Pelodiscus sinensis: one gene and its partner. The protein of the gene in region 2 binds, or shares a complex with, the protein of the main gene of each other region. Links are inferred from orthologs where the notes say so. Each region holds a gene or a part of one and is shown on either strand. Other genes may lie near its edges.

Region 1 (11,055 bases), on a different chromosome or scaffold from region 2:
CGCCACGCCAAGGGTCGGCGCTACCGGACCAACCCGACAGCACTCCAGCTGCTCTGCTGCCGGCGCCCCCGATTCAGCCGCTGCTGAAACTGACCAGTAGCACTGAATCAGGGACGCCTGGGGCAGAGCAGGACTATCGGAAGGGGGGGCTATGAGGGGTCTGGGGTGGCATCCCCCCCACCCTACCCCAGACCCGTCATAGCCCCCCCTTCCGATAGTCCGGCATATCTGATAATCCAGCGGCCCCTGGGTCCTAAAGGTGCCGGATTACCAGAAGTTTACTGTATTTTGCATGTGCTGTGAGTATCATTGTGGTACCCAGGGCTTCCAAAGTTGAGTAGCCCTGATTTATTCAATGTATTATAATGATTTCAATTATTCTTTCAACAGGAACCAAGTAGTGGCAGTGAGCTACCACTCCTATCACCAAAAGTAGACACCAGAGGAGCAAGAGAGATCTAGCCTGTCTCTCCCCAGCTTTAAAATCTATGAATAACAACTTCAAGAAATGGCAAGGTATCAGAGACCCTGCTGCTAAGCACATACCATCAGCAATACGCTGTATCACTAGAGTGTCACATGCCATCACTAGAGCATAACAATACCTACATCAGCCTCTGAATGAATGAATGTCAACAAGGCTGCACTCTTTACAGTACATCACCAACCTGCCCTACTGAAACTCTGGTTCTACAGCACCAACTCTACAGGCTCCTAATAAAGCTACAGGAAAAGAGCTCTGTTTGATATCGGTTTCAGAGACCGATAGCTTAGAAAGAGGATGGCAGCAATATACTCAAGCAGTGCTCTAATATGCTCCCACTGAAATCCATGATAGAAGAGTCCTCATTAAAATTAATGGGAGCAGACTGGCCCTCAACACTCTACAATAAATTTCAACTTTACTTAATTACAAGCTGTTTTCTGTAACAGCCACTATTGCACATTTTCCAAGATATTTAACATATGACAAGTGTGATACGTTAATGAAAAGCAATTTTATACTAAGGAAACCAGTCCATGACAACAAGTACAGCAAGACTGTGGAGACCTAAGCTCTCTTCCTTGCTCGGCCATTAACCTGCGAGCTGACCTAGAATAAGTCATTTCACCTCTGTGCCTCAGTTTTTCCCTTTTCCTCCCTCCATGGGTAAAATGAGAAGTGGCTCCTTACCTTATAAAGCAGGCAGATTTATGACTGGGATGCACTAAAAGTTAAATATTGGACAAATATGCACAGTTTGATTTCAGTGCCCTGAAACTCAATAGGGCCAATTTTCTTTGCAAAAATATCCTAGAGTAAATCTAGATTTTAGGTTTTCCCACCCAAAGTTACAAGGCAGGACTAGAGCTGGCTTTTAAAATGGAAGCCATTGGCAAACAACTCCAAAGGTTATTGACTCATCATAATGAGTTAAAACTACATAAATGACAGTTAAAATTGCCTAAGCAAAGCTACCTGTAATATCACCTTAGCAGTTCTTACATTCTCCCTCACATTGTCAATTGTGAAGCTCATATGCAAAGACTGACTAGTTTAAGAAGTGATAACCCTTGTTATTTCCCTTTCTATCAAGTCTCTTCAGCTCCATAACTGCCCTCTGCCTTCCTTTTGTGGCTTGACCACTACAACTTGCAAGCTAAACCAGGATCGACTGGTGGTCATGTTTCTCTGTCAACATTATATTAAAATATAGTTCCTACACTGATACTGTGGCAAGAGTGCTGTTAAACTTATTAATTAAAGGAGTGAGACTGAGCATGTAGGAATATTGGACAATCTTGAAAATAGAAAGGAGAATTTGTCCAGAGCACCAACCTTCCTCTTTCTCCATTACAGACTACTACTACAGTAGTTCACATATTGCTGTAAGAGATGGAAAGATAAACTCCTTTCCTTTCTCAACTCCTGTAACACTACGGCAAGGAGAAAAGATGTCATACTCACTTGGATCCCTTGCTGGGCAGGGCCTTGCTTGGGAGCAGCCAGAATCAGCTAAGAAATTACAACACATTAAGATAAACAAAATGAAACGGTTTACCTTAATTCGAGGCATGGTGACTGTGGGTGGCTTTGCTTCAGCTATGAAACTGTGGCATGTTCCTTTTTCCACGAGTTGTGTAGTGTAGGGCATGAACTGTTTACCTTTTGACCCAAACACAAAGTCATCTCTCAAAGCATCTATCAGCACAATGACAACTTTTTTGAAAAGAGGTGATGGAATCTTAGTCCAATTAGAAGTAACTCCTAAAATAAATGTAAACGTAAAATGGGTAAAGCATCACTGCAAGTTAAGGGCTCACAACAAAAGTGATCAGCATTTCACAAAATTCACACAGGACTTCTGCAACTGTTTTAATTGCCAGTGAAAGGAATTTAAAGTTAGAAGGTCAGTTGGAAATCAGACAGGACCATACTTCATACTTCCATAGTGCACGTGGATGGAATCTACATCTATTTCTATCCAGCCCTGGCTTGGGCAACAGAATTTTCATGAAACCAAAAGATTCAGCCCATGCACTCTTTAGTCTGACTGAGGTCCCAGTAACACACTTCATCAACTCTGACCTGCAGTGTTGCCATTAGTGAGGGGAAGTGCTAGATGTAGTGAACAGAAATTGGGTAAAATGGTTTGCGAGCCCTCTAGTGGCTACCATTCTTGTTTATGTTTTAGAAGCCAGCTTAATGGTTTGCATATACAGCTTCCTTGTTGTGTATATTTAGAAAATATAATTATTTGGAATCCCATTGTGCCTGTGCTTTTATTTATTTTGTTACGTAATAAACAAAAAAACTTGGACCAAGTAGGGCTTCAACTGAAACAAGTATTAATCATCTCAACCAGGGAAAGTGTACAAGAGTAGTGAAGATGCACAGAAGCAAACATTTGTGACAGCAGCCCCACTTCTGCCCGCTGTTGGGGAGCTAGCAGTCCAGGTCCACTCCTAAGGGCCACTGGGAGATGATAGGCCAGTCCTATTCCCTGGAATATAAGGAGGTTGGTGGGATATGATTGCGGTGGAGTGGCTGGACCAGAACAGATACTAGTGCCCAACATGGTCAGCTCGAGCTCGAGCTACCGTTGTTGCTACTTCTTGTCCAGCTAATGGGGAGACTTAGGGATGAGTCAAATTAAACTTTATGTTCTTTCTACTGCTAGTGCCTCAGTTCCTGCCAGGTTTATTCTCGCTCATGGATGATAAAACTAAAAGGACCCCAAACTTTTGGGCTGCTGGAGCTTGTTTTCTAGCTTCCAGCCCAAAGCAAACTTTTAAAGCCAAATTCTAACCACCTGTAAAAAGCTTTAATAATGGAATTGCAGTCAAGCTGTTAAATAAAACAGTATGAATGGAATTGTTATAATAAAAGAAGGAGGGGATGGCAGACCCAAGTGCCAAGTGACAGACAGTAGGGGTGTTAGCTATTGGTTAATTGAACAGTCCAGTAACCACATTAATTCCCAGCAGTTATGTGACTATTCTATAGCTCCCTGGGGCGGGCCAGCAGCCAGTGCACTCCGGCCCCACTACTAGGGAGTCACTTGGTCCCCCTGCGCTGCTGCCTCTGTATCACAAACAGCAGTGCAGGGTGCCAGGAGGGAGCCGGTCCAGGAGAGGAACCAGTTTAAAAACCAGCTCCCTGTGGGGGGAAGGGGCGCTTACCTGGGCCGGGAAGAGAAGGGGCGGGGCAGCACCCAGGTCGGGAGCATGGCAGTTACCTGGGGAGAGGGCGGGGCGATTACCCAAGCAAGGGGTGGGAGGAGGTGGGGTGGTTACCTGGGGGGGTAGGAGGAGTTACCTGGGTGGGGAAGGGGCGGGGCGAGGGAGGGAGGGGGCGGGGCGGTTACCCGGGCAGGGGGCGGGATGAGGGGGTTACCCGGGTGGGGGATGGGAGGAGGTGGAGCAGTTACCTGGCCCGGGCGTGGGGAGGGGGCGGGGCCGTTACCTGGGGAGGGGAGGGGGCGGGGCGGTTACCTGGGCCAGGCGGGGGGCGGGGCGGTTACCTGAGGAGGGGGCGGGGCGAGGGAGGGAGGGGGTTACCCGGGTGGGGGGATGGGAGGGGGCGGGGCCGTTACCCGGGTGGGGGGATGGGAGGGGGCGGGGCCGTTACCCGGGTGGGGGGATGGGAGGGGGGAGGGGGCGGGGCGGTTACCCGGGTGGGGGGGCGGGAGGGGGGGGGTGGGGCGGTTACCTGGGCCGGGCGGGGCGGGCTCGGCGGGCGGGGCGGGGCGCGCGGGGCGGCGCGCGCGCACGGGCGGCGGGAAGAAGCCGCGCAGGAAGAGCCCCACGCCCAGCGCCTGCAGCAGGAGGCAGCCGGCGGCGAAGAGCCCCGAGCGCAGCCGCATGCTCGGCTCCACGGCAGCCCCGGGCAGCGCCGCCCAGCCCGGCCGCCTCAGGTGCAGTGGGCGGGGCGCTCTCCTACGCCGCCCAATCAGCGGCCCCGGCTCTGCCCTGCCCGCCCGCCGATTGGCTCGTGACGAAGCAACCAGCAGCCTCCGCCCCCGGAACGCACCGAACCTCCGCGCCAGGCCGGCCCCAGAGAGGAAGAGTCGCGCCGCGAACTACAACTCCCAGAAGCCCTTTCACCCGCCGCCTGCCCTACGGCGCGCTCCAGGGACCAATCCGCGTTGTGCTCTGCTGCACGCGGCTGGTCCTTGCAGCCTCTGCGTGGGGGGTGCGCCAATGCCCTGGGTGTGAACACCGAGGTTAAGCATGCAAAGCCTGGGCCCGGGCTCAGGCCTGCAGGCCGCTCATGCACGTGCCCTGCAGGGCAGGCTTGGTGTGCACAGCCAGCGGGCCCCGCTCACCGTACCTATCGCAAGCAGGGAAGCGGGTTGCACGAAGCAAGCAGCAGGAAAGCTGGGCGAAGCCAAGCCCAGCCCAGCAGAAGGGATGCTACCCTCTAGCCCCCAGGAACAGGGCTGAGGCTCATTCATTGTGCCCACAACTGGCCTCTAACCCAGCATGGGCGTAGGAGAAAGAGGCTAAAAGAAATAGCCCGTAAGGAGCCTGGGAGCCTGTCACGCTGCACCCTCCCTTCAAGGTGTACTTCACACAACAGGAACTGACTAGTTTGACGTATGGTTCATGTGTGGGTAGTGCTGCCATGCACAGTTTTGGCAGTCCTCAAGCTACAACATGTCAGGGACTTATCGGTCTATCTACCTGTGTGCCATCGCACCCTCTGGCAGCAAGTTAGCCAGATATTCCTTCTTCCTTTTAATTGACAACATAGTACTGGAACTTGCCCATTTACACCTGACTTTATTTACACCAACATAGGGAGTAATATCACACCAAAGTCCTACAATGTGCATAGAACAGCTAGCAGCAGTCAGGCTAAGATGTCAGTGCAGCAAGATAATCTTTTTTGTAACCATTACTAAGATGACGTCCAGTAAGTGTCACAAACAAGACACAATCCAGTGCTAGTTACAGAGCAAAGAACTCAGGAGGATTTAAGTTCAAACCAAAGACTTGTCAGGCAATGAAAGTATGATCTGACAACCCACTTTGTCAAATGACAGGAGTGTAAAAAGTCACTTACAGCTTATAGAATCATAGAATAATAGGACTGGAAGGGACCTCAAGAGGTCATCGAGTCCAGCCCCCTGTCCTCAAGGCAGGACCAAGCTCCGTCTACACCATCCCTGACAGATGTCTATCTAACCTGTTCTTAAATATCTCCAGACAGGGAGATTCCACCACCTCCCTTGGCAATTTATTCCAATATTTGACCACCCTGACAGTTAGGAATTTTTTCCTAATGTCCAATCTAAGCCTCCCCTGCTGCACTTTAAGCCCATTACTCCTTGTCCTGTCCTCAGAAACCAAGAGGAACAAATTTTCTCCTTCCTCCTTGTGACACCCCTTTTAGATATTTGAAAACCGCTATCATGTCCCCCCTTAATCTTCTTTTTTCCAAACTAAACAAGCCCAGTTCATGAAGCCTGGCTTCATAGGTCATGTTCTCTAAACCTTTAATCATTCTTGTCGCTCTTCTCTGTACCCTTTCCAATTTCTCCACATCTTTCTTGAAATGTGGCGCCCAGAACTGGACACAGTACTCCAGCTGAGGCCTAACTAGTGCAGAGTAGAGTGGCAGAATGACTTCACGAGTTTTGCTTACAACACACCTTTTGATACAACCTAGAATCATATTTGCTTTTTTTGCAACAGCATCACACTGTTGACTCATATTCAACTTGTGGTCCGCTATGACCCCTAGATCCCTTTCTGCCATGCTCCTTCCTAGACAGTCACTTCCCATCTTGTATGTATGGAACTGATTGTTCCTTCCTAAGTGGAGCACTTTGCATTTCTCTTTATTAAACCTCATCCTGTTTACCTCTGACCATTTCTCTAACTTGCTAAGGTCATTTTGAATTATGTCCCTATCCTCCAAAGAGGTTGCAACCCCACCCAGTTTGGTGTCATCTGCAAACTTAATAAGCATACTCTCTATCCCAATATCTACATCATTGATGAAGATATTGAACAGTACGGGTCCCAAAACAGACCCTTGCGGCACTCCACTTGTTATCCCTTTCCAGCAGGATTTAGCACCGTTAACAACAACTCTCTGACTACGGTTATCCAGCCAATTATGCACCCACCTTATCGTGGCCCTATCTAAGTTATATTTGCCTAGTTTATCAATAAGAATATCATGCGAGACCGTATCAAATGCCTTACTAAAGTCTAGGTATATGACATCCACCGCTTCTCCCTTATCCACAAGGCTCGTTATCCTATCAAAGAAAGCTATCAGATTAGTTTATGCTTTCTTCCTCCCCTCCTTTCCCCCCTTTCTTTTTTTTCCTTCTTCCCGTCCCTCCTTCCTTCCCTTATTTATTCTTGGATCTGGACTTTTAACACTCCTGTCATCTGTGCCCACAAAAGCTCATGATACCATCTACATGTTTTGTTAGTTTTTAAACAACTACTAGTCTAGTAGCGCCTTAAGTTTTTCCTGTTACAGACTAACTCAGCTACTCCTCTGAAGTATGAACAAGAGAGCCTTCCTCTTCTGATACCCCAGGCCTATACTGTATCAGCAGAGTGACATGTATGAAATTATTCTCTTTGCAGTATATAGCCAATTACAGTACAACCCCCAAAAACCTGTTTCATCAGGTACCGTTTTTGTCATTTTTTCATTCTACACTCCCAGACAAATTGTGTGTGTGAAGTCTCTGCTGGTGGAAGCAAAGGCAGAGCATCAGAAAGGGTTATCTAAAGCAGTCCACTGAAGTGCGAATCTGTACTTCGTGCCACCGCAGTGGGAGTCTCAAAGGCTTTGTAGTGTTGGAGGTGAAAGATTAGGCACATGGGTTGTCTTTTTAAACCCCACTACAAAGGAGACACTTTGAATCCGACAAGTGAAGTCAGCAGCAGAATTGTACAGAAGCATTACCCACAAACAAGGGGGTGAGTTCCCCCTCCACCACCATATTCAGCTTCAGATACTAAGGCAAGTGGCCTTACATTAGTTAATTGCATCCTAGCTAAGCCCCTGCACTGCAATAAAAGCATAGCACATATTTGCCCCCATCATAGTGATCTTGTTCTTCTACTGGGGAACCTACAGCTTGGGGGCCGAATCCAGCCCCTGGCTTGCCTAGATCTGGCCCCTAAGACTTTGGGAACCCCCCCAGCATCAGGGAGGTGATGCTGGCACTCCAGCCCTGCACCCCCAAGAAGCTGCACCAGGTAAGCACCTCCCTCCTCATCACTCAGACCCTGCACCCCCACCCAGCTCCCGCACCCCTCCCACCCACCCTCTGCTCCTGCACCCAGCTCCCACACCCCAACTCTGCTCCTGCATCCTACTTCCCACCCAGCCCTCCTACCCCCAGCCCTCTCCAACATCCTACCACCCTCCCAGAACCACCAATCCCAACCCACTCCTCACTCTCCCTCCCGCTCAGACCCCAAACCCACTTCCCAGCAGCCCCCTCCCACATGCTGAAATTCTCATTTTTGGCCACACCCCAGAACCTAGGGGAGCCCACAAAATCTACTAGCCTGGGCCCCCAAAGCTCTGATGTGCAAGGGGCATGTGGGGAGTGTCTTTCTGCTTCTTAGTCTGGGGTATGTCAGTGGTGTTTTCCTTGCTTCTCACTTGAGAGACACCCCTGGCTCATTTTTCTGAGGGCCTGACTATTACCCCATGCTACTTATACAAGTGGGCACTAATGACCCTGCAGGGTGTGACACTGAGTGGCTCTAAAGTGACTGCAAGGCTCTGGGAGTACAGGTGAAGGAGTCTGGAGCACAGGTGGTATTCTCTCTGCTCCTTCCTGTCAAAGGTTGGAGTCCAGGCAGAGACAGGTGCATCCTGGAGGTGAACGCCTGGCTGCGAAGATGGTGTCGCCAGGAGGGCTTTGGCTTCCTCAACCATGGGAAGCTATTCCTAAAAGGGCTGCTAAGGAGGGATGAGGCTCATCTTTCAAGGAAGGGGAAGTCAGTATTTGGATGCAGACTGGCTTACCTAGTGAGGAGGGCTTTACACTAGGTTCGATGGGGGCAGGTGACCAAAGCCCACAGGTAAGTGAAGAACATGGGAGACCTGGGAGATGGGTCAGAATGGGAGGGAGCATGAGCTAGAATAGAGGAAAAAAAGGGACAAGGCAGAATGGGGAAGCAAGATCAAATCAGTATCTTAGATGCCTATAAACAAATACACGAAGTATGGGTAATGAGCAGGAAGAACTTGAAGTGCTAATAAATAAACACAACTATGACATCATTGGTATCACAGAGACTTGGTGGGATAATACACACGATTAGAATATCGGTATAGACGGGTACAGTTTACTCAGGAAGGATAGGCAGGGTAAACAGGGAGGTGGTGTTGCCGTACTGGCATAGAGAGTAAGCTTATTAAGCCTGCAGATGATACAAAGCTGAGAGGGGTTCCATGGACTCATCATGCTTTGGATGATAGGGTCCAAAATGAGCTGGACAAACTGGAGAAATGGTCTGAGGTAAATAGGATGAAGTTCAAGGACAAATGCAAAGTGCTCCACTTAGGAAGGAACAATCAGTTTCACACATACAGAATGGGAAGCGACTGTCTAGGAAGAAGTACTTCAGAAAGGGATCTAGAGATCATAGTGTACCACAAGCTAAATATGGACCAACAGTGTGATGCTGTTGCAAAAACACACACACACACACACACACACACACACACACAGGATTCCGGGATGCATTGACAGGAGTGTTCTGAGCAAGACACAAGAAGTCATTCTTCCGCTCTACTCTGCACTGATTAGGCCTCAGTTGCAGTATTGTGTCCAATTCTGGGCACCACATTTCATGAAAGTTGTGGAGAAATTGGAGAGGGTCGAGAGAAGAGCAACAAGAATGATTAAAGATCTAGAGAACATGACCTATGAAGGAAGACTGAACGAATTGGGCTTGTTTAGTTTGTAAAGGAAAAGGCTGAGAGAGGACATGACAGCAGTTTTCAGGTATCTAAAAGGGTGTCACAAGGAGGAGGGAGAAAAATTGTTCTCCTTGGCCTCTGAGGATAGGACGAGAAGCAATGGGCTTAAACTGCAGCAAGGGAGGTTTAGGTTGGACATTAGGAAAAAGTTCCTAACTGTCAGGGTGGTTAAACACTGGAATAAATTTCCTAGGAGGGATTGTGGAATCACCATCTCTGAAGATACTGAAGAGCAGTTTAGATCGATATCTATCAGGGATGGTCTAGATGGTACTGGATCCTGCCATGAGAGCAGGGGCCTGGACTCCCTCTCTCAAGGTCCCTTCTAGTTCTAATGTTCTATGTTTCTATGAAGTATTTCTAAGATATGCATGCGGAAAAGTGTATTTGTATCTTAACACAATCTCTTATAAAATCTGTTTTTAGGTATTCAGATTGAAAATCAAAATGAGGCTAGCACACATTAAATAGGCAACTTGTCTATAGGATTCTTAACTCTAGTATACACTTTGGAGATCATACTTTATATGTTCCAGCATTTCTGTTGGTCTGAACAGAAGGCACCACATAGGGCTGCAGGAATCCAGTTTCAAAATGGGGTCGTGATGGCAAAACGTTTGGGAATGACCGCTCCCCTTGTGACTATTGCTTCAGTGAAAGAGAACATACATGTGATAGTGCGATAGGTTGGGACTCCATGGCACCTCCTGCCGGTCACATTTGGGATTAGCTTGCCCCTGCACTGGAGCGCCCTCTTCTGGCTGTCTCTCACCCATTACCACCTGCCCTTTATATCGCCATCGCCCTGTCGGGGCCCATGTGCCTCCCAGGCCACAATGTCCTTCCCTTGTTGTTTTGAATTGGATCGCTCAGTCAAGTGGTGGGACTGGGGTAACTGTATTCTGTGGAGGGGAGGACCCCAGAATGTGGGCTCTGGGGAAGAGACCTACGACTGACAAAGGAGGCTCTGTCATCACCGTGAATAGGTCAGATTAACAACAGGAGGATGCCAGGCAACTCTCCAACACCACCTGCTACAGGCCTCCTCTGTCTGATCCCACTGAGGAAAACCAAAAGAAGTTACACCATCTGCTCAAACTCTCTGCAATAGCATGGGGCCAAATCAACATGGACCCACTCCTAAAGCCACAACCAGGAGTGTTCCATCTGCTCCCCAACATCCATAAACCTGGAAATCCCAGACATCCCATCAACTCACACACTGGACAGCAGGGTTGTCCGACTATGTGGACTCACTCCTCAGACCCTACGCTACCAGCACTCCGAGCTACCTTTGAGACACCACTGTCTTCCTGAGGAAATGATAGAGCATCAGTAACCTTCCTGAAAACACTAGCCTGGCCACCATGATTGTAGAAGCTCTCTAGACCAACATTCCACACAAGGATGGACAACAAGCTTCCGGAAACACTATCCCCGACGATGCCCCTGCACACCTGGTGACTGAGCGCTGTGACTCCGTCCTCGCCAACAACCATTTCCAATTTGGAGACAATTTATACCTTCACATCAGTGGTACAGGTCTGGGTACTCACATGGCCCCCAGCGTAGGCAAACATATTTATGGCTGACTTAGAATG
Region 2 (10,747 bases):
GAGCTTATTTTCCGGTGGATCACGTCCAGACTGGCGCTTTTCTCAGCAGACACCTCAGCTTGAGAATAAAGGACTGAGGGAAGTGAGGTGTGGGAGAATAAAACTGAGCTCTGGAGAAATGTTTGGCTAGAGTTTCCCCTACAATATGTACCAGTTCCAACTTACATACAAATTCAACTTAAGAACAAACCTACAGTCCCTATCTCGTACGTAACCCGGGGACTGCCTGTAGTTGTAGTCTCCAAGATGCTACAAGACTAACAAAAATATATACAGTATCATGAGCTTCCATGGGCAAACCCACTTCTTCAGATGAGCTTGGGTAGAGAAGAAAAAGGGGGGACGGACCTCAGAATTCTAACAGAAACGGGGATGTACCTGTCAATTGTACAAATGGGGAAGTGCCAGTGCTAATGAGACTAATTGAGTGGGCTGGAAGTGTCCCATACTTAGCTTTTGATGTCAATGAAATGTTAAATGTAAGGGAAGCTGGTTTTATAATGGGCCATTCAGTTCATGTCATTGTTCAAGCCAAGGGAAACAGTGTTTCATTTGCATATGAAGGTCAATTCCACACTCTCTTTGTAGTTGGCTTGTGAAATTTATTTGTAGAAGAATGTGAAGCTTGTATGGTACAGATGTCTAAAGAGAACTTATTTTGGAGTGAGATTATTAAATACAAAGTAATATTTGAGACTATATGGGAAATCTGCAGCAAAGGCATGACGAGATCTAATGGATGGAAATTTATACTGGACAAACTCAGACTGCAAATAAGGTGTATGTTTCTAACAGCAAAGTTATTTAATCATTGGTACACACTTGAACAATGGCCATGGTGGATTCACCATCATCAATGGGAATTTTAAATTAAGACTATATATATGCTTTAGGAATTCTGGAATGGAAGTTTATAGCCTGCCTAATACGAGATATCAGCGGTGCACTCTGGGGGTCGTGAATGAAAAAAAATGGTTGAGCACCACTGTACTAGATGATCATTATGGCCCTTCTTAGCCTGGAATCTCTGAATCTATAAATGAATTTCACACAGTTACCTGATGTTATATAGTAAGAATGCTCAGCAACAGCAACCTTTAATTTCAATAACACTTTTCTTAGCAAGGTAAGTTTGAATTATTCTTCAGTTCTATTTTTGATGCCTAAAATTAAAACAAGTGGAGTTCCATTTGTGCACTAAATTCAAGATGGGTAAAACTTATGCTACACAAATCTCACCTTTTTTATAAGCACATCCCTGGCAGTAGTGAGACCCTGGCTGATGAACCGAACTCTTACAAATCCGGCATATTGCAAATTTGTTCTTCCCGTAAGGATCAAACCTCAGATAAAAAAAATTAAATAGTCCAACATTAAATGACATGTAAAAGCCATAGGGAGAAAATACTATTTGTCTCATCACTAGGACTGAAAAATCATTGAACTTAGAGTGATTATGAACAGAGAATGTAGAGAGTCTGCAGTCTACAAGAGAGATATTCAAAGACTCCTAAGACCACATATGGAAACTAATAATATGGCCCACGGCACACCTGCAATGTGTAGACAAAGCTGATATATTTTTATCAAGTTTTTACTTTAAGAAGTCTTTATTTGTAAACTATCAATAATAGAATATTTTGCACTTATGGTCACTAAGCACTTTGCAAAAAGTGAATTAATCCTCAACACACCTATGAGGTCAACAATTATCATGCTATTTTATAAGGGGACAAACAGATACTTAGACGTTTCTCAGTCACTCTAGGTCTCACAGGAAGTTTTGTCAGAGGCAATAAAAGAACTCACATCTCCCAACTCTTAAACCATGTCCAACACTTCCTCTTCAAATCTAAAAGTCAACTATGCACAGGGCTCGACAAATTATTTTAAGCCGGCGGGGCTGCGCAGCACGGTCAGCGCATACACAGCGCGGTGTGTGCATGCGCAGTGCGCGCTTCCATGCGGCTGGCAAGCAGGGCTCGCCGCCACTTGGTGACCCCTGACTATACAGATACATAAAAGTTTAGGAAGGACTGAAGCATTGCAGTTTGGCCAGTTGTATATTGTTTTCTCCCTAGCACAAAACAATACGGCTACGTCTACACTGGCCCCATAAAACGGAAGAGGCATGCAAAGCAGGTAAGTCAGAATAGGGAAATCCGTGGGGGATTTAAATATCCCCCGCGGATTTAAATAAACATGTCTGCCGCTTTTTTCCGGCTTGGGGAAAAGCCGGAAAAAAGCGTCTAGACTGGCGCGATCCTCCGGAATAAAGCCCTTTTCCGGAGGATCTCTTATTCGTACTTTCAGGTATTCCTACTTTCAGGTAGGAATAAGAGGTCCTCCGGAAAAGGGCTTTATTCCGGAGGATCGCGCCAGTCTAGACGCTTTTTTCCGGCTTTTCCCCAAGCCGGAAAAAAAGCGGCGAACATGTTTATTTAAATCCGCGGGGGATATTTAAATCCCCCGCGGATTTCCCTATTCTGACTTACCTGCTTTGCATGCCTCTTCCGTTTTATGGGGCCAGTGTAGACGTAGCCTACAAGTCTGAAGATGCGCACATTTGTATACAAATATTTATAAAGTCATAACACTGGATGGTCCTTGCCTCTAATAGCTTGCATTCTGTCAAGACAAATAAAATGAAAATTGTATACCAGTTTTAGAAAGCACTCAGCAATACACGAAACAAGTTTTGGCTCCAGTACAAAATTTATAAGATCTTTATTTTTAATTAAGATAAAAATCGCAATACCAACCTTGCTTTCTTTGAAGTCAGTGCCTTATTTTCATTTAATTTTCGTCCGCCACTTTCTTTATAGAGGAAAGATATACCAATGTACTGACTAAAATCAAAGTCATTTGTAAAAAGCTCATTTAACAAATTAAAGAAAAAAACACACACCCATATTCCCCTCCCAGACTTGATCAAATAAGGAGTAAAAAAGTTCATTCAAAATAAGAGCCCAGGAACATTATAGGTCTTAACAATCCAATAGAACATACCACGTTCTCATATTATTACTAATATAATATGCACTAAATAGCAGAAATGCAATATATTATAAACAATGAAAAGTTATCTACGGAACATAAGCAGCTGTGACTAATGTAAGACTAAGTTCAATCAGCCTGCCAGGAGACAGTGTATGGAAACATAAAACTCTTAGAGAATTCATATTCAGTATTTTGTACATTTCCAGAATCTCCAGAATTTTGGTCTTAATATATAAATTAAATGTAAAATAGAAATAAGATTCAATACTGGTATTGGTCAAGGTAGGAAAAAATGGGAAATGTCCGTTTCTTTTTCCTGACTTGAAAGAATTGACATGTAAAGCTGTAGGTTGGTAGACTACTGCACTGTACAGAATTCATTGCACACCAGGGGCCTTAGTTACTAGGCCAATATTAGACAGAAACTTTGTTGCAGTGCTAGAAACACCTAAGTGTTCTGACTCCAGTTCTGTGCCTTCACCATCAGGAAGTTCTTTCTTCTCTTTCCTCCTCCCCCAAAAGGGTAAGCTGTCATATTTAATTACGAACTAATACGAAGGATGTGAAAGGGAAACCACGTAAATGGTAAACTGATGAGCCCATTCTCATCGGATAATGTTCATGGTTACATGTAGGCTCTGGGTATGGCTGGTTCCCAGGGAGCTGCCTGCCACCCTGTGTTACTACCTCTGATACAGAGGCAGCAGCACAGGGTGGTAGATGAGAGATGGCACACATGGGGAGCCATCAGCCATCCCACATGTAACCACTGAAATTTTTAGGACTTTATGTGGTTACTAAGGGTGTGTCTAGACTACAGGGTTTTGTTGACAAAAGCGGACTTTTGTCAACAAAACTATACCTGCGTCTACACTGCCGCTGAGTTCTGTCGACATAATGTCGACAGAACTCACCAGTTTTGTCGACGGCTGTAAACCTCATTCTACGAGGAATAACGCCTTTTGTCGACAGAGTTCTGCATCTACACTGTCCTTTGCGTCTACACTGTCATGTTGACAAAGCGGCTTGCTTGTCAACAGAACTGGATGTAGTCTAGACGATCTTTGTCGACAGAAGCTTTGTCGACAGTATCTGTCGACAAAACTTCTGTCGACAAAAGTCTGTAGTCTAGATGTACCCTTAATTACACACATTTTAACATTCCTAACCAATACCGCATTGTTAACCTACTGTTTATCAGTTTGGTATTCCTAGTCCATTTAGCTGCTAAATATGTAGCAGTACAACAGAAAATAAAAAGTATCTAATATCTCAGAACGACCAAATAAAATAATGACCAGGATTATTAGCCTGATGGTGGGTGAAAATAAAATGTTGAGGATGAGTGGCCTAAAGCAAATGGGTGGAAAAATGAATATAGTGCACCCTGAATTTGGATAACAGGACCACCTAATCCACATTTCATTATTTCGTATTGTGATATAGTAGAAATACACACTGCTAGGGATGCGAAAGGTTAACCGGTGGGGGTTGGAGCAGCTCCCTGCCCACTGGGGGTAGGGGACTGCTCTGGCTGTGGTGACCTGCTTGTGGCAGAGGACTGAGGGAATGCCCCCACCCCCTTTAATCCATTAATTAGATACATGTAACATTTAATCAGTTAACCAATTAAATGGAATTTTACATCTCTACAAACTGCACTACAGAAGAGCAAAATAATTATAGTCCAATAGACTGAATTATCATAGGAAAGAATCTGAAGTGAAGGACAGAAATGGGGAAGCTGCTCATCTATTGGCATTGTTCTTTGCATAATAAAAGCTTAAAGTCTTCCTCAATTAAGTTAGTCTTTGAATGCAACACCTGTAGTATTTCTTGCTCCATCTTTCCATGTGTCAGGTGTAATCACAGTGCCAAGTTTCTTCTCACCTGTAACAGAACACACAGCAGGGGAAGAAAACTAGACTTAGTTTTCATTAAAGCCTCTAAGCAAATGGTTCTTATTAATACAAATGTTATTAAATATATATTTCTGGAATCAGTGCTTAGCAGCTCCACATGAGAAGCCAGGCTCTGCTTAGACCCTATAGATCCCCTGTGAAAGATGCTAGTTCATTGATAGAGGCAATGATACAGATGAGACAAGAGCAGGGGCAGCCAGGAAGCTGTGATGTGAATATTGACAGCTACCCCACACAAACCCAGGCAGTTTACCAATAGCTATGCCCATCTCAGTTATGACCGCCCAGCTGTGGGTGAGAGGGAGGAGAATGAGTGAGTGCACATGCACACACACGTGTGTGTGTGTGTGTGTGTGTAGATGAGACCCAGCCCGAACAGGGAGATACATCATGCCCCCATCCTGGCAGAGCTCCCTCTAAGCTAAACAGCTGCCTAAAAATCCTTTCACAAGGGTTCAGGGCTACTGTGCATGGAGTTGCCAGAGACTGGGGGAAGAGATGCAGGGGCAGCAGGCGGGAGCCTATACTTGATGGGAGCCAGCTTAAAAGCTGCCCTGTGTGTAACTGTGTAATTTTCAGCAGTTAGGCAGTTACACACACTTTAACATGCCTTCAGATCATCCCTGTGCAAAATGAATGTTATGTGCATCAATACGGAGGAGATGTGCTGCACATGAGCTCCATATTGGTGCACTCAGGAGAGATGTCAGACAGTGTTTAACTGACAAAAAGGCTAATGGCATATTAGGTTGCATTAAGAGGAACATTGCCAGCAGATCCAGAGATGTCATCATTCCCCTTTATTCGGCTTTGGTGAGGCTGCATCTGGAGTACTGTGTCCAGTTCTGGGCCCCCCCCCACTACAAAAAGGATGTGGATGCATTGGAGAGGGTCCAGTGGATGGCAACCAAAATGATTAGGGGGCTGGAGCATATGACTTATGAGGAGAGGCTGAGGGACTTGGGTCTGTTTAGTCTGCAGAAGCGAAGAGTGAGGGGGGATTTGATAGCAGCCTTCAACTTCCTAAAGGGAGGTTCCAAAGAAGATGGAGGGAGGCTGTTCTCAGTAGTGACAGATGGCAGAACAAGGGGCAATGGTCTCAAGTTGGGGTGGGAGAGGTCCAGGTTGGATATTAGGAAAAACTGTTTCACTAGGAGGGTGGTGAAGCACTGGAATGGGTTACCTAAGGAAGTAGTGGAGTCTCCATCCCTAGAGGTGTTTAAGTCTCGGCTTGACAGAGCCCTGGCCGGGTTGATTTAGTTGGGATTGATCCTGCCTAGAGCAAGGGCCGGACTTGACCTTCTGAGGTCTCTTCCAGCTCTATGGCTCTATGAATAATCATGGAACTTCAACCTCCCCCCTTGCGCAGATGGTAGGGGGCGGGGAAAGAGGATCCCCTGCCCCGCTGGGCACCCAGCTGCGGCGGGGGGAGGGGGGATGGTCTCGCGGCTCAGGCGGTGGGCGAGGACTCCAGGCACGCATCGGCTTGGCGGAGCCCAGGCGCGGGGCGCTGCCCGAAGTGGCGGGGAGGGACCGGCGCCCGCGAGGACTCACACTTCTCGCAGACCATGCTGAGCTGGAACCGCCGCCGGGCAGCCGCAGACCACCAACAGCTCGACAGACCAAAACAAACTGCCACTTCCGGACAGTCCCTTCCTCTTCCGGCCTCCGCGCTCGCCCGCCTCCCTATGGAGCCAACCTATGGGGCTGCTCAATGTACGTCCCCCGCAGCCTGACTGGTCGCCACCATCCGTCACTCTCATGCCTTGTGTCTTCTCCTTTGAGCAAGGCGCGCAGCGCCGCCTGCTACGCAGGGAGTTGAGCGCCGGGGCCCGAGAGCCGCGCGACCTCTGACCTCGTGTTCGGCGTAGTCCCGCCCACTGTCTGCTGACAGGGACTCGGGTAAGAGACAAACGGTCTGTGCTCTTCCTTCCCAGCAGGCTGCTGCCCGCCCCCCGCTGACTGTCTTCCTCCCCCCGCTTTCTGCTGCTCCCCCTCCCCTCCCGTGACGCGGCCCCACCTCGGGCTCCCCAGCATCCCATCCTGGGCAGCGCCCGCTGCCTTTCCTTGCTGTGGTGCGTTTTCCAGCCGAGCAGTCAAGCCTCTGCCCCTGCCAGTACTTGCTGGGCTTCTTCTCCTGTGGCATCGATGTCACAGGTCACAAGGGGGACGTGGGGCAGCATTCACCTCGCCACTCCCATCAGTGCCACTCTGGGTACCCAATGATCCTCCCAGCGAACCATTTGGTGATGCAGCCTGGTTCGGGCCATCGGAGGGTATGTCTACACTGCAGCGTTTTTCCAGAAAAAATGGCCATTTTTCTGGAAAAACAATACTTACGTCCACACTGCTTTTACTTTCTTTCGACAGAAAGCTGAAAGAACAGAGGGGCTTTTCTGACAGTGGTAAACCTCTTTCTATGAGGCAGAAGCTTTTTTCCAAAAAAGCTTTTCCAGAAAAATGCATGTGTAGACGTAGAAGAGGGAGTTCTTTTGAAAGAAAAGGCTTCCAGGAAATAACACAGGTGCCCTGGTGGCCACTCCGTCCATATTAATCACAACTTAAATGCAAGATAGCATCCAATTAATGTGGGTGCTATGTTTTGAAAAAGCACATTACTTTTTCATTGTGCTTTTGCTGTGTGGATGCACTCTTTCAAAATAAGCTTTTCCAGAAGATCTCTTCTGGAAAAACTTCCAAAAGAAGCTTGCAGTCTAGACATAGACTGAGGCATGTTGCACAAAGGTCAAACCTTTTTCCTCCTCTGCAAATTGCCTGATGGCACAAAGCCTGTGGTATAGGCTGTGTCTGCCTGAGAATGTAAACATCAGCAAAGCCAGTGAATCAGATGTTTTAGCAGAAAACATCACAATTCACTGCCAATCACAAAATGCAGTACAATATCTGAAAAAAAAAAAATTGGAATGAAACATCATGGTTGCTCCTAGGTTTTCTGTTTTAAAGTAGCACACAATTTATCTTTTTCAACGTTTTTTTTTTTTTTTTTAAGTTTACCCTCCCTCTTAAATTTTTCAGAAATTAACTACAGGAATGTCATTTGCTTTATTGTAGGTGCACTATTCAAGATAAAACACCATGAAAGATACAGAAATAAAGAGACTGCTGTTTGCCCACATCATTTGTGTATTTTCCATTATCTTAACAACTATTGTTCCACCTCTCTTTTTGGAGAACTTCTCAGTTTTGGGAACACACCTTATCTGGCTGTGCATCTGTTCTATATGTGTAACTACTGTAAATATAATATTGTATATAATACTTAAACCAAATCCGTCTTCTAAGAGAATTTCACTTGCTCACAAGGTAAGAATTTGTATAATTAACTTAATGCTAATAGCTTTGAGGAAGGGTTGACTATCTTTTTCCTGAAGAAGTCAACTAGGAAAGTAAAAGGACAAAGTACAGTCAAATGCATGGTTGTCAAATCTTCACCTTTGTAAATGAGTGGAGTAAGTGTGTATTACCTTTTGAAATGAGTTTTCCAGTATTTTTATCAGTGTTAAAACTTTCTTTTCCATTGAAGTTTTTCAGAGGGGAGCATTACTGGACCACATTCTTCTCCCAGAGCCAGGGAAAGGATCTAACAGTCCTGATGCTGCCAATTCCACTCCAACTGGTCTCTTTCTACCTTTGACATTTCCAGCAAACCCAGGAGTGCTGGTTGTATTATATCTTTAGTGTCTTTTCAAGAGCTGGTGGCTTATAGCCTAAAACCATCATCCTCCAATTCAGTGATGAGCAAACTATGCTAGTGAGCAGACAGTATGAGTGGCTCTCTTTCATTTACATGGGCTGCAAAATTGTCGTAATCAAGACTGTCATTCCTGGGATAGGGTAGCTTTGCTAGCTGTTCTTGTGTGCATAAAACTTTTGGGTTACGCTAATTGAACCATAGCAGTATTTTGGCTGTGGAGGGAGTGCATGATTCTCATAGTCAGTGTTGTGTTCAGTCAGCAGTCAGCGCACACATCATTTCACATACCCTTTGCTTTACTTCTCATTTAGTAATACCAATAGGAAAAGCTATGCAGATGGAAACCAGAGTGTGGCAACACTGCACCTGGGTAACAGTAAACAAAATGTCTTGTGGGTCACACATAGAACCTTAATGGATGTATGCAGGTCATGGGATGCCCACCATTACTCTGATAAGCTCCACGCTCGCAGAAATCAGTGAGACTCTGAATGCAGAAGTCTACGTGCACACATGTCACTGCAAGATCATGCCTAAGCCAGCATTATGTTCAAAAGTTTGGTCTCCTCTGCAGTTAACACATGTTAATACATAGAAGTAATTCAAGGAAAAACTGTAAACCCATGGAAATTTAAATGCAGGTAAAGCACAATAAAATTAATTGAGAAAGGTTAGTTAAGATTTTTTTGAACAACAAAGCCATCCCCCCATAGACACTTCAGTTTTATAGAAGACACTATAATATTACATTTTGCTGATGGAGTATTGGGAACATGAAACTCATAAAATGAATACTACCATAGGAGTTTAGACCAATACTCAGAGAGTTCAGAATGGGGAAACACAAAGGCAGGTTGTCACCAACTTTCTTCTGCACCTGATTTGCTGAGTTGAGGGGATAGACCACTATTACTAAGAACTAATGATCAAATAGCTTGACAAGCCAAATATATTGAGTAGTTTTTCACATATAGTGTGTGGTTTGACATTGATTTATTTGATAAGGGGGAAAAATAAAATCCCCTTTATAAAGTTTGTGACGTGGGGGAAAAAATACCTAAAAAAACTCAGATGATGCTTGAAACTTAACTAATGTTTGAAGTTTTCTTTGTGACTTGTTTTAGATAGAAACACTCAACTTTGGTTGGTGCTTCTTTAATTAAAACTGCTCATAAAATTTCTATAATACAAAAGAAAAACAGGTAACAATTGAGTACCATCTACATTTATAGAATATTGTGTATTTAAAAATGTATATAACAGGATTCTAGAAAGTTAGATACATGAGCAGCATTGTCATCTTGAAATCTAGTCAGTTTTAAAATGTAGTTGATGGAGTCAAATATAGCTTTATATACTATGATGTCCGAGTGCTAGTTTTTGTTGTATTACTATCACATTTCCCTGTTAAAAAATATTTTTAATTCCCCATTGTACTTTGTCAAATACATTCCAAAAAAAGCATTATGCAACATCAGGCATTTTCAAAGGTGAACAGGAACAAACTGAGGAACATTTTTCTCTTATCCTCAGTTAGAGGTATCATAGTTGTTACTTGTAATATTACCACAGTAAGTAAAACATATTTTCATACTGAAGTAGAATTTTATTTTTTAAATTGATATAGCTTTAAAATACTAAACACAGAAAAGCTTGCATAATAATCAGTTTCAACCATAGTCCAATGTAATAACTTCAGAAAAAGGCGAATGTAGTGCCCATCTTTTAAAAATGGAAGGAGGAGAATCTGGGGCTAGCCACAATTCAGTACCTGGAATAATCAGGGAGGAGATCCTCAAGGAATCCATTTTGAAGCACTTGGAACAGAGGAAAGTGACTAGGAACAATAAACATGGATTCAGCAAAGGCAAGTCATGCCTAGCTAAATTGATTGCTCTCTATGATGAGGTAACTGGCTCTGTGGATATGAGGAAGGTGGTAGACATGATAAACCTTGACTTTAGCAAAGCTTTTAATATGGTCTCCCACAGTATTTTTGCCAGCAAGTTAAAGATTTATGGATTGGATAAGTGTAAGGTGAATAGAAAGCCGGCTAGATCGTTGGACTCAATGTTTAGTGATCAACAGCTCAGTGGGCCGTTGGTATCAA

Evidence for each region. The genes of interacting proteins can lie anywhere in the genome.
Region 1: PIGF (region 2) and PIGG share a complex: the UniProt entries of both Homo sapiens proteins name them as parts of the ethanolamine phosphate transferase 2 complex. The link is inferred for Pelodiscus sinensis from reciprocal best matches to the Homo sapiens genes PIGF and PIGG.

What each region holds. Positions count from the first base shown.
Region 1 is NC_134716.1:3,107,215-3,118,269, reverse strand, and holds the start of PIGG (GPI ethanolamine phosphate transferase 2, catalytic subunit), read right to left. Parts: upstream 4,454-11,055; 5' UTR 4,347-4,453; coding exon 4,193-4,346; intron 2,249-4,192; coding exon 2,043-2,248; intron 1-2,042.
Region 2 is NC_134713.1:164,107,631-164,118,377, forward strand, and holds the start of PIGF (GPI ethanolamine phosphate transferase, stabilizing subunit), read left to right. Parts: upstream 1-6,687; 5' UTR 6,688-6,824; intron 6,825-7,994; 5' UTR 7,995-8,018; coding exon 8,019-8,246; intron 8,247-10,747. Other genes in the region: CRIPT (cysteine-rich PDZ-binding protein), read right to left, coding at 1,240-1,343, 2,763-2,817, 4,825-4,890, 6,477-6,492.